Linked DNA regions of Nothobranchius furzeri. The protein of the gene in region 2 purifies or fractionates together with the protein of the main gene of each other region. This does not show direct contact. Links are inferred from orthologs where the notes say so. Each region holds a gene or a part of one and is shown on either strand. Other genes may lie near its edges. The genes, in order: drosha and ddx17.

Evidence for each region.
Region 1: the proteins of ddx17 (region 2) and drosha purify together in Homo sapiens (co-immunoprecipitation; 3 studies listed by IntAct, with this or other methods). This does not show direct contact. The link is inferred for Nothobranchius furzeri from reciprocal best matches to the Homo sapiens genes DDX17 and DROSHA.

The regions. Positions count from the first base shown.
Region 1 is NC_091747.1:62,197,971-62,201,786, forward strand, and holds part of drosha (ribonuclease 3), read right to left. Parts: intron 3,040-3,816; coding exon 2,959-3,039; intron 2,614-2,958; coding exon 2,527-2,613; intron 2,443-2,526; coding exon 2,356-2,442; intron 394-2,355; coding exon 322-393; intron 48-321; coding exon 1-47. UniProt on the Homo sapiens protein: Ribonuclease III double-stranded (ds) RNA-specific endoribonuclease that is involved in the initial step of microRNA (miRNA) biogenesis.
Region 2 is NC_091746.1:24,951,165-24,955,686, forward strand, and holds the start of ddx17 (probable ATP-dependent RNA helicase DDX17), read left to right. Parts: upstream 1-1,505; 5' UTR 1,506-1,705; coding exon 1,706-1,758; intron 1,759-3,382; coding exon 3,383-3,545; intron 3,546-3,633; coding exon 3,634-3,730; intron 3,731-3,870; coding exon 3,871-4,004; intron 4,005-4,087; coding exon 4,088-4,153; intron 4,154-4,255; coding exon 4,256-4,397; intron 4,398-4,522. Other genes in the region: ntan1 (protein N-terminal asparagine amidohydrolase), read right to left, coding at 294-396, 944-1,024. UniProt on the Homo sapiens protein: As an RNA helicase, unwinds RNA and alters RNA structures through ATP binding and hydrolysis.

The DNA.
Region 1 (3,816 bases), on a different chromosome or scaffold from region 2:
TGGAACAAGTAGGCGGCGAACAGCTCCAGCCCTCGGACACAGTAGTTCTGCACACCAGAGACACGTGGCAAAGACTCACACCTTCACGTAGACCTGAGCGGTCAGCACATCCAACTTTCTGACTTCATCACATCAACCATCTTACTGATACGGCCAACTTGGGTAGGCCAGAGCCAAGCTTCTAACAGGATTAGCACCTTGGCTCACCCAAACGCGGCGGCGTGAGAGCTACACGAGCTCAGCTGTGCTCAGACTCAGCCGTTTGAGATAAAAACAACGAGGGTGAGAAAGAGCGGGGAGATAAAGTGCTGTTGGACTGACCTCCGGCGCCATCTCCTCTATGAAGTGAATGGTGTAATCTATGTTGAAGCGGATCACTCGGCACAATGGAATCTGTGATGATGAAAGGAGCAGAGGACGAGGAGAAGAAAAGGACAGAGCGTCTCATTACCACAGCGACAGGCAGAGGTTACAGCTTCTCAAGGAAACTCATTAAAACCTCATTTTCTCTGCAGAAACCACGTGCATGTATGGAAACTATATGCTAAATTGTGTAAAAACATGTAAAACCTCTGATAATACCACAAACCCACCCTCCCATGGAGCGCGCGCCTCCCCACACACACGCACACACACACACACGAGCGCCCTGGAAATTAAGCAACTCAAATCTGGCTAAAAGGATAAGCCGGCTCGTCTGTGTTTAATCTCCCCGGTTACACGGTCTTTGTTGTCGGAGCACAGGGGTTCATTCGGAGAGATTAACCTGGAGCAACGCTCCTTCCTGCCCATCTCAGCGGCTAACTAGCAGGGAGCTAATATGGCCATGCTCTCAGGTTTCTAATCCCCGTTCTGTCGCCAAACGATTGCCCCGGCTTGTAAAAAGCACCGTGGAAATTATCTGGTGTAAATCAGGCCTGATCCGCCGGGCTGCAGCGCAGATATTGATCACATTATTTAAACGGACTGGAGCACGAATCACCGCAGGTTGGGAACGTTTTCTCCAACCTGGCAAACCCCCGTCGGGTTTTCGTCTGGCTTCCTGTTAAATCGCAACCTCTTCAATGGCTGACGGACACCGAGGCCAGCCCTGTGAGAGGGAAGCACTTTGTCCAAACTACAAAGGAGTCGACCCGAAGCCGAGGGATGATTTGAAGTTGTGTTTTAGGAAAAAGGAGGTTTTCACTTAAACTCCAGCAGGAAGGACGAACATTAGCAGGCTGAGGCGTGGAGGAGGACGCCCGCCTGTGATGGTGGGTGAGAACCTGCCTGAGCAGCTGGTGGACACTTGGGCCGAGATAACAAGGCTGATGGTGGATCAGAGCATCTGTCAGGCTGATTCACACCAAGCAAGACATTATTATGCTAAAACAAGAGAAGACGAAGCATACTTTACATCGAAGGCGGTCGGCAGGTCACGCCCACTGTGACGAACCTTCGGACCGTTGGAGCGGCTAAAAAAGGACCAAAAACATAAAATCCTAACGATGGAAATCCCATAAATCACAGCTACTATAGTCAGCTGTTTCTGAACAAAGTCAAAACTACACTGAGGAGTGTTTGAAGGTCTGGTTTCCATAGAAACCGTGTAATCCTTGTTCATTTAGATATGTGATCGGCCACTCTGGCCGGGCCTTCCCACATCCGTGAAGTGAGGTACGCAGCAACCAGCCGCCGTAGTAGCAGAAGAGTGCAAGCAGCGCATTTGTTTAACGTTCCAGAAGCGTAGGGACGCGTCACTTCTGCTAAATTCACGACTCGAGTCTATTTTTTTACACGCCACGCTCAGCAGGTTAGACCGGGCCAGACAGGAAGTCAAACACTAAAGCAGTGGGAACATCTGGTGACTTTCAGATTTAAAGTCACGTGCACATTTCCAGGTCTGTACCAGTAAAAAACAATGGCGCTGACTGTGAAACCTCCGTAGCCGAAGTAAATAGGACAGAAAACAAACCAGACGCGTAGGAAGATGCTGCCATCGTTCAGACTAAAAGAACGCAGAAAGGAAACAGACGGGAAAACGAGGCACGATTCCTCCACGTCACAGCGGTAATTTGCATTCATGACCACGCCCACCTCGGCTTGGGACCGCCCACAGGAAGGAGAGAGCAGAGCGCGTCTCGGTTAGTGAAAGCTAGCCATTAGCATTAGCAACCTCACACAGTGGCAAACATGTTGACGCTTGTTTGTGGAGAGAAAAAAAAAGGAAGAGCGGAGGAAGCAGAAAATAGCTCACAAGGCATTCACTCATTCATTCTATAAACCAGACTAATCTACAGGAAATAAGCATGAATGAGAGCTTTAAGACCCTCGTGCAAGTTCTGGAGGGAACGGCGTTCCAACTTTCAGACTCACGCTAGTGAGGGGCGTGTGAGAGAAGAGAGAGAAGCCTTCAAACAGGTACTCGTGGTCGTCGTACTCGATCACCGTCGGCCGGTCCGTCTGGAAGTCAATTACAGAAAGACTCGCGTCACAAACACAGAAAAACAGCCAAACCACTCGTTTCGGTTGAGAACGGCGTCCTACCAGGAAGTTGGTGGGAGGAGACACGGTGATTCTGTAGTGGAACAGTTTCCCAGCGTTGTTGTTCATCGGACGGCACTGCCTCACGGGCTGGGGACAAAACACCAGAAAGATCCCTCATCAGTTACTGGACCCAGTAAAACCAACTAAAGAGGAAAACATGAATGTTTCTGAGGATTGTGAATGGATGAGTGGATTAAATCATGAATGTTTGTTTACTGGACATAAAACCTCAAAGTCGTTCATAAAAATGTTCTCAGTCATAAGGACACGAGTCTATTTATTAAGATATAACACCGTTTAGCTCATGACGGTGAGTTAACGGGGTGTGTGTGTGTGTGTGTGTGTGTGTGTGTGTGTGTGGGGCGTCCTTGGCCCGCCGCGGCTCAGCCTGAAGGTTATGAACGGAGGTGATTTATTCACGCCGTGTCCCACCTCCTCTCCTGGGTAGATGCTGTGGCGGATCCCGGTGCGTCTGGCCTTGGCGCTGCACTTACACAGGGGGCCATCATTCATCTGGACAGAAAGAAAATGCGTGAATCGGACAGCGCCGCTTCACCTGCCAGGTGTAACACAAAGGCCGAGGAACGCTTCACATGTCTGGACTGCAGCACGGCGACCTTTACGTCTCTTCTGCACTTTGAAGTTGGGAGTTTGAAGTTTCCCTGGCAGGTTCTGCCTTTGTTAGGAACCTCAAACAACCCAAGTTTATAGGAGAAAACCACCTTTTATCCACTCAGGCTTTAAATATTCTGAATTTAACGTGACAAACCTAATTTGGCTCCTAAATTAAATAAATCCAGACGATAAATTCAGCCCAAAACTCGGAAACTCTCCACTGAGAGCGACAGAACCCTTTGAAGGGATGGTCCTCCATAAAACTAGGTCCTAGGGTCGGGCTTATCGTCTGACCTCACGTCTGTGAGCCCAGCAGGCTTCAGGGGAGGCAAACATCCCATCAGAGCTTCGAGGACAAACATTAGGCTCTCACGCCTTCGCAGAGACTAAATTCAAGCCTCATCAAGGATTTCAAGCACCCATTCTGAACTTTTCACCACTTCATCACAAAAGCAGCGGTTGTTGAAGTAGGTGCGAAGAGTTCAGAGGTGAAGTTTGTTCTTCACACTGTTGCTAAAGTTAAACCAAGCACCTTTTAACCTCCCTGTTTCATAAAACTAAATATTATTGTGACAAAAGGGTCGATGCTACATCTCAGCACCATTACTGCACTATTTCTGCTGTTGCAAACGATGAAAACATGAATATTATTTGAGGTCGACTGTTAATGCTGAA
Region 2 (4,522 bases):
AGAAATCTGGGTGAAGTGTCTTGCCCACAATATTCTATTGCCCACAATCGAATACTCTAACAGGGGTTGGGATCTATCCCACCACCCTCTGATCACTGGGCAACCCGCCTCCTGAGCTACTGCTGCCCCAAATCGTCTGTATTACAATTTGATGACTAATGCATGAGCATTCAGATCCAGGAAAAATAGATAAAGATATCTACCTGAAACACCTGAGTAGACAAATCAAATAATTGTGTCATAAAGTTTGTAACCAAACAGATTGATGCGTTCTGTGATAGGTTTGTATTTACCGTCTGCTGGAGTTGTTGTTGCAAACTCTCTTTGCTGAACATACAGGAGGCACTTTGGGTCCACTTCAACCAGAGGCCTGGAGCGAAAGGTTCTAGCATGTTCCTGTAACATAAGAACACATCATGCGTTACAACAACTTAAGTGCCTCATACCTGACAGGTAAAAGTTTTTGACCAGTCTTATTTGACCCCAGAGATTCTAGACGTGGGTTTGACAAGCAGTTCTTTAGGCTTTGGGTGTTTCCCATTATAATTTCCTACCCAGTCCTTGTACCTGATATGGTGAGTTGTGTACTTATGAGGAACAGAGGAAAGTGGTTAGAACAACAGAAGAGTCAGACCTTACAAGGGAAAAAAGGGCAGGCTATATTTAGTGTTTTAGTACTTTTGTACTTCTTTCTACCTGAATACAAAGAGGAAATCATTGTTATTAGCTTGCATCATTGTTTTGCTAGTGACTTGTACTATTTAAAACTAATTAAAACGTGTTTCTTATGATTAGGCAAAACAGCGATTTCTTTCAAATGCAAAAAACTTGATGGTGTGACATTCAGAAGAGTACAGTCTAATATAAAAGACTTAAACAGCGTTAACCGACGAAGTCAGTGTTTACTTGCTAAAATTATTGAACAGCTAATAGCCACACTAACCTGTAAATGTGGATATTTGCTGAACAACTCCTCTGTCGACCTTATGCGGCCAAGTTCTCTACCCTGAATGAACAAAGGCATTTCTTTAACGAGCGTCACTTGATAATCAGCTAGTTCATGCTTTAAAAATGTCAATAACTTAAAAACGTCACGTCCAAACGCCTGTCTGTCTCATCTCGACTTGAACTTCCTGCAGCTGTTGTCTTCTTCGTTTCCTCGTGAAACGCATGGACGACTCGGTGCAATGTCGCCCCCTTCTGGTTGATATACAGACCTTTTATTTTCTTGTTTACTAGAACCAGATAAAGATGTTTTAAACGCACTATTGTCCAGTTTAGCTTTTTTTCATTTATAGGTTGCAATACACATTTTTCTACGTTTTAGTTGTTAAACAAGCTCTCGTTTTCGACGACACCATTTTTTTGTTCTAATTGCATTCACCATTGCTTTTAGTCAGGTTACGTAAGTGCTAAGGCTTTTTTAGAGACGGCACCACTCACGACGCTACGTTAACGTACTAGCAGGAACAACGTCATCGGGTTTGAGAAAAACAAGCTAGGTTAGTTCGTGACGCATATAGCTGTTGTTGGTCACAATGTTATTGTAGCGTTGTTATTGCCTAATTCGTGTATTATAGTTCACTAGGATTTAATTTTTGTGTCTTTATCTAATTTGCATTTCTTTAATTCTGAACGCAACGTCAACAAATCGACTCCAGCTAACGCGAAAAATACTACGGGTAAGAATATTTGCGTTGCCGACATGAGAGGGGGTTCATCTTATGGAGACAGGGACAGAGACCGTGGACGAGACAGGTTAGTTATTGTTGTTGGTGATTTTCAAAACGCTTGATCTATTTGCCGTGAAATCATATGATCAACTGAGAATGAGAAAATTCCCGAAACTAAACACGAAGGCGCCAAAGGGGCCTAAAGACTGTTTTCAATTCATTTGACTCCTCTGTCTCACCAATGACGAGGTTTGTTTTCCTACTCTCGAGTCGTTGTAAAACCACTAAACAACGGCATCGGTGAAATGTGAAGAAGTTGGAGCTCGGCAGCTCAGTGAATAGATAGATGTTGGACCATGGTTGGGACTGAGGCCCTCTGGACTTTGTTTACGGATTTGTTGCTTTTAATAAGCAGATGTGTTTCTGAAAAATTGTGTTCAATAAACCAGGAAATAAACTCTCAAATCTGTAGATTTTAAACTAAACTCAAGTTCTCAAAATATGGAAAAATATATTTTTCCACAGGCAGAAAACACACACACACACACACACACACACACACACACACACAGGGTTCACTCTGAACTCTGACCCATATTGCTCAGTGGTGTTGAAAAACAACCAGTTTAGAAAGACATTCTTTGTATCTGGCGCCATCTAGTGGTCACATAGCCTGTGACTAAATCACCGCTGCTGGAGAATCTTTTCCAATAACCCTTTAGGCCCTAGGCCTTTTTTCTTTGGGCCCTGGCGCCTCCCAAACAATGGGGGCCTTTGGCGTTTCATGTCCCAAGTGTGAGTGATTGTTTGCATTCCCCGAGCACAGCTACAGCTACAATCAAAATAGTTTAGATAGTAAACAAAGCAATTTTTGGTTTCTGATACATTAAGATAAAATGATACTTGAACTTTATTTTAGAAGAGCTGCCCTGTGTAAACGTGCTGACAGGATGGAGGTTGTGAGTTCAAATTCCATTTAGGAAATTTAGTCAATTGTTGTATTTATTCCAGGGGTCCTCAACTACATTTGTTCAAGGTTTTTTTTTTCCAGCAGACACCAGAGAAGGTCAGATGCTCTTCTAAAGTAAAGTTCAAACATCATTGTATCTTAATTTATTACAATTTAAAATGGCCTTTTTTCCCACCTGGGCTGTTTGATTGTGGTTTTAGTTTGGAGTATGTGGACAGTAGTAGATGATTGGGACATGAAACTGTAGAGGCCCCCGGTTGGAGGGTGTTGGGGTTAAACAGGATGAATGTTTTGAGAAATTGTGTACGGTTACTGGATATTACCGCGGATAATGCTAATAAGGTTTATCATTTGTTATTCTGTATTTTTTTGTACTAGATTTTGTAAAAAAAAAAAAAAAAACATTTTAAATTCAGTCATTTAATCAAAACTTTCAAACTATGTCACTATTATATACTGTATACAACTATATCATGTGTTTTATCATGGTTTTATATTTACTACTCATGTATTGTTTTTGTGCTTGTTTGAGTGTTTTATTTCCTTTTACTGTACAATGACCTCGAGTTTTAGAACGATGCTTCAAATAAAGCTTGTTATTATTATTATTAGTAGTAGCATTACAGGTGCAGATAAAGATAAAAACCACAGGTGAAGCCCAAGTGTGGCGTTGACATCCGTCAACCTGCTCCTCGTACTAATTCCTCTGATTCTTCTTTTACCTCTTGAAACATCTCAGGCCAAGGTTTGGAGGGGGCATGGGTGGCCGCAACGGACCACCACCCATGAAGTTTGGTAACCCCGGTGAGCGTCTTCGCAAGAAAAGATGGAACCTGGATGAGCTGCCAAAGTTTGAAAAGAACTTCTACAACGAACACCCAGAGGTCCAACGAATGAGTCAGGTATGTTTCTTCTTCTTGCATACAGTTGTTTCAGAAGAACACAACACATTTCATGTCTCTTCTTCTATTTCTTGTTGCTTTATCCCAGTATGACATTGAAGAGATTCGCAGGAAGAAGGAGGTCACCGTCAGAGGCTCAGGCTGCCCAAAGCCTTTAACTGCTTTCCACCAGGCACATTTTCCTCGTGAGGGAACACACCTAATACTGCACACACAAATAATATTTAACAAATTCATCAACAATGAATTTTCTGTAAAACATCTAAGGGCTTAACATGTTAATACCTTCAATTGATGCTGATAATCTCCTGCTTTTGCCCTATAGAGTATGTGATGGATGTTCTGATGCATCAGAACTTCAAGGAGCCCACAGCGATCCAGTCCCAGGGTTTCCCTGTGGCCTTGAGCGGCAAGGACATGGTGGGAATCGCTCAGACGGGCTCTGGAAAGACACTGGCTGTAAGAATTCATCCCTGAAAGCCTATCATCATTAACAAATGGGCAATGACAGTTTAACATGATTGTTTTTTTGTTCCTTGCAGTACCTTCTTCCAGCTATTGTTCACATTAATCACCAGCCCTATCTGGAAAGGGGGGATGGTCCTATAGTGAGTACAAACGTGACACAACCTCAGACTGGAGATTTGCATCTAAATCTTAATGCTTGTGTGCACACAAAGCTAGCTGGTCATCATTCTGTATCCCTACAGTGTCTGGTCCTCGCTCCAACTAGAGAGCTGGCCCAGCAGGTTCAGCAGGTCGCTTTCGACTACGGCAAGTCATCCCGCATCAAAAGCACCTGCGTCTATGGTGGAGCACCAAAAGGGCCCCAGATTCGTGATCTTGAGCGTGGTGGGTATGGTTTTCAGTCGTTAGAATTGCACCTCGTTTACACCGAGGCCAGGGTTGGGAACACGTCATCAGTTTTTACTCCTGAGTATCCGCAACTGATGTTTTAGTTCCCTGGAGGCGTGGCT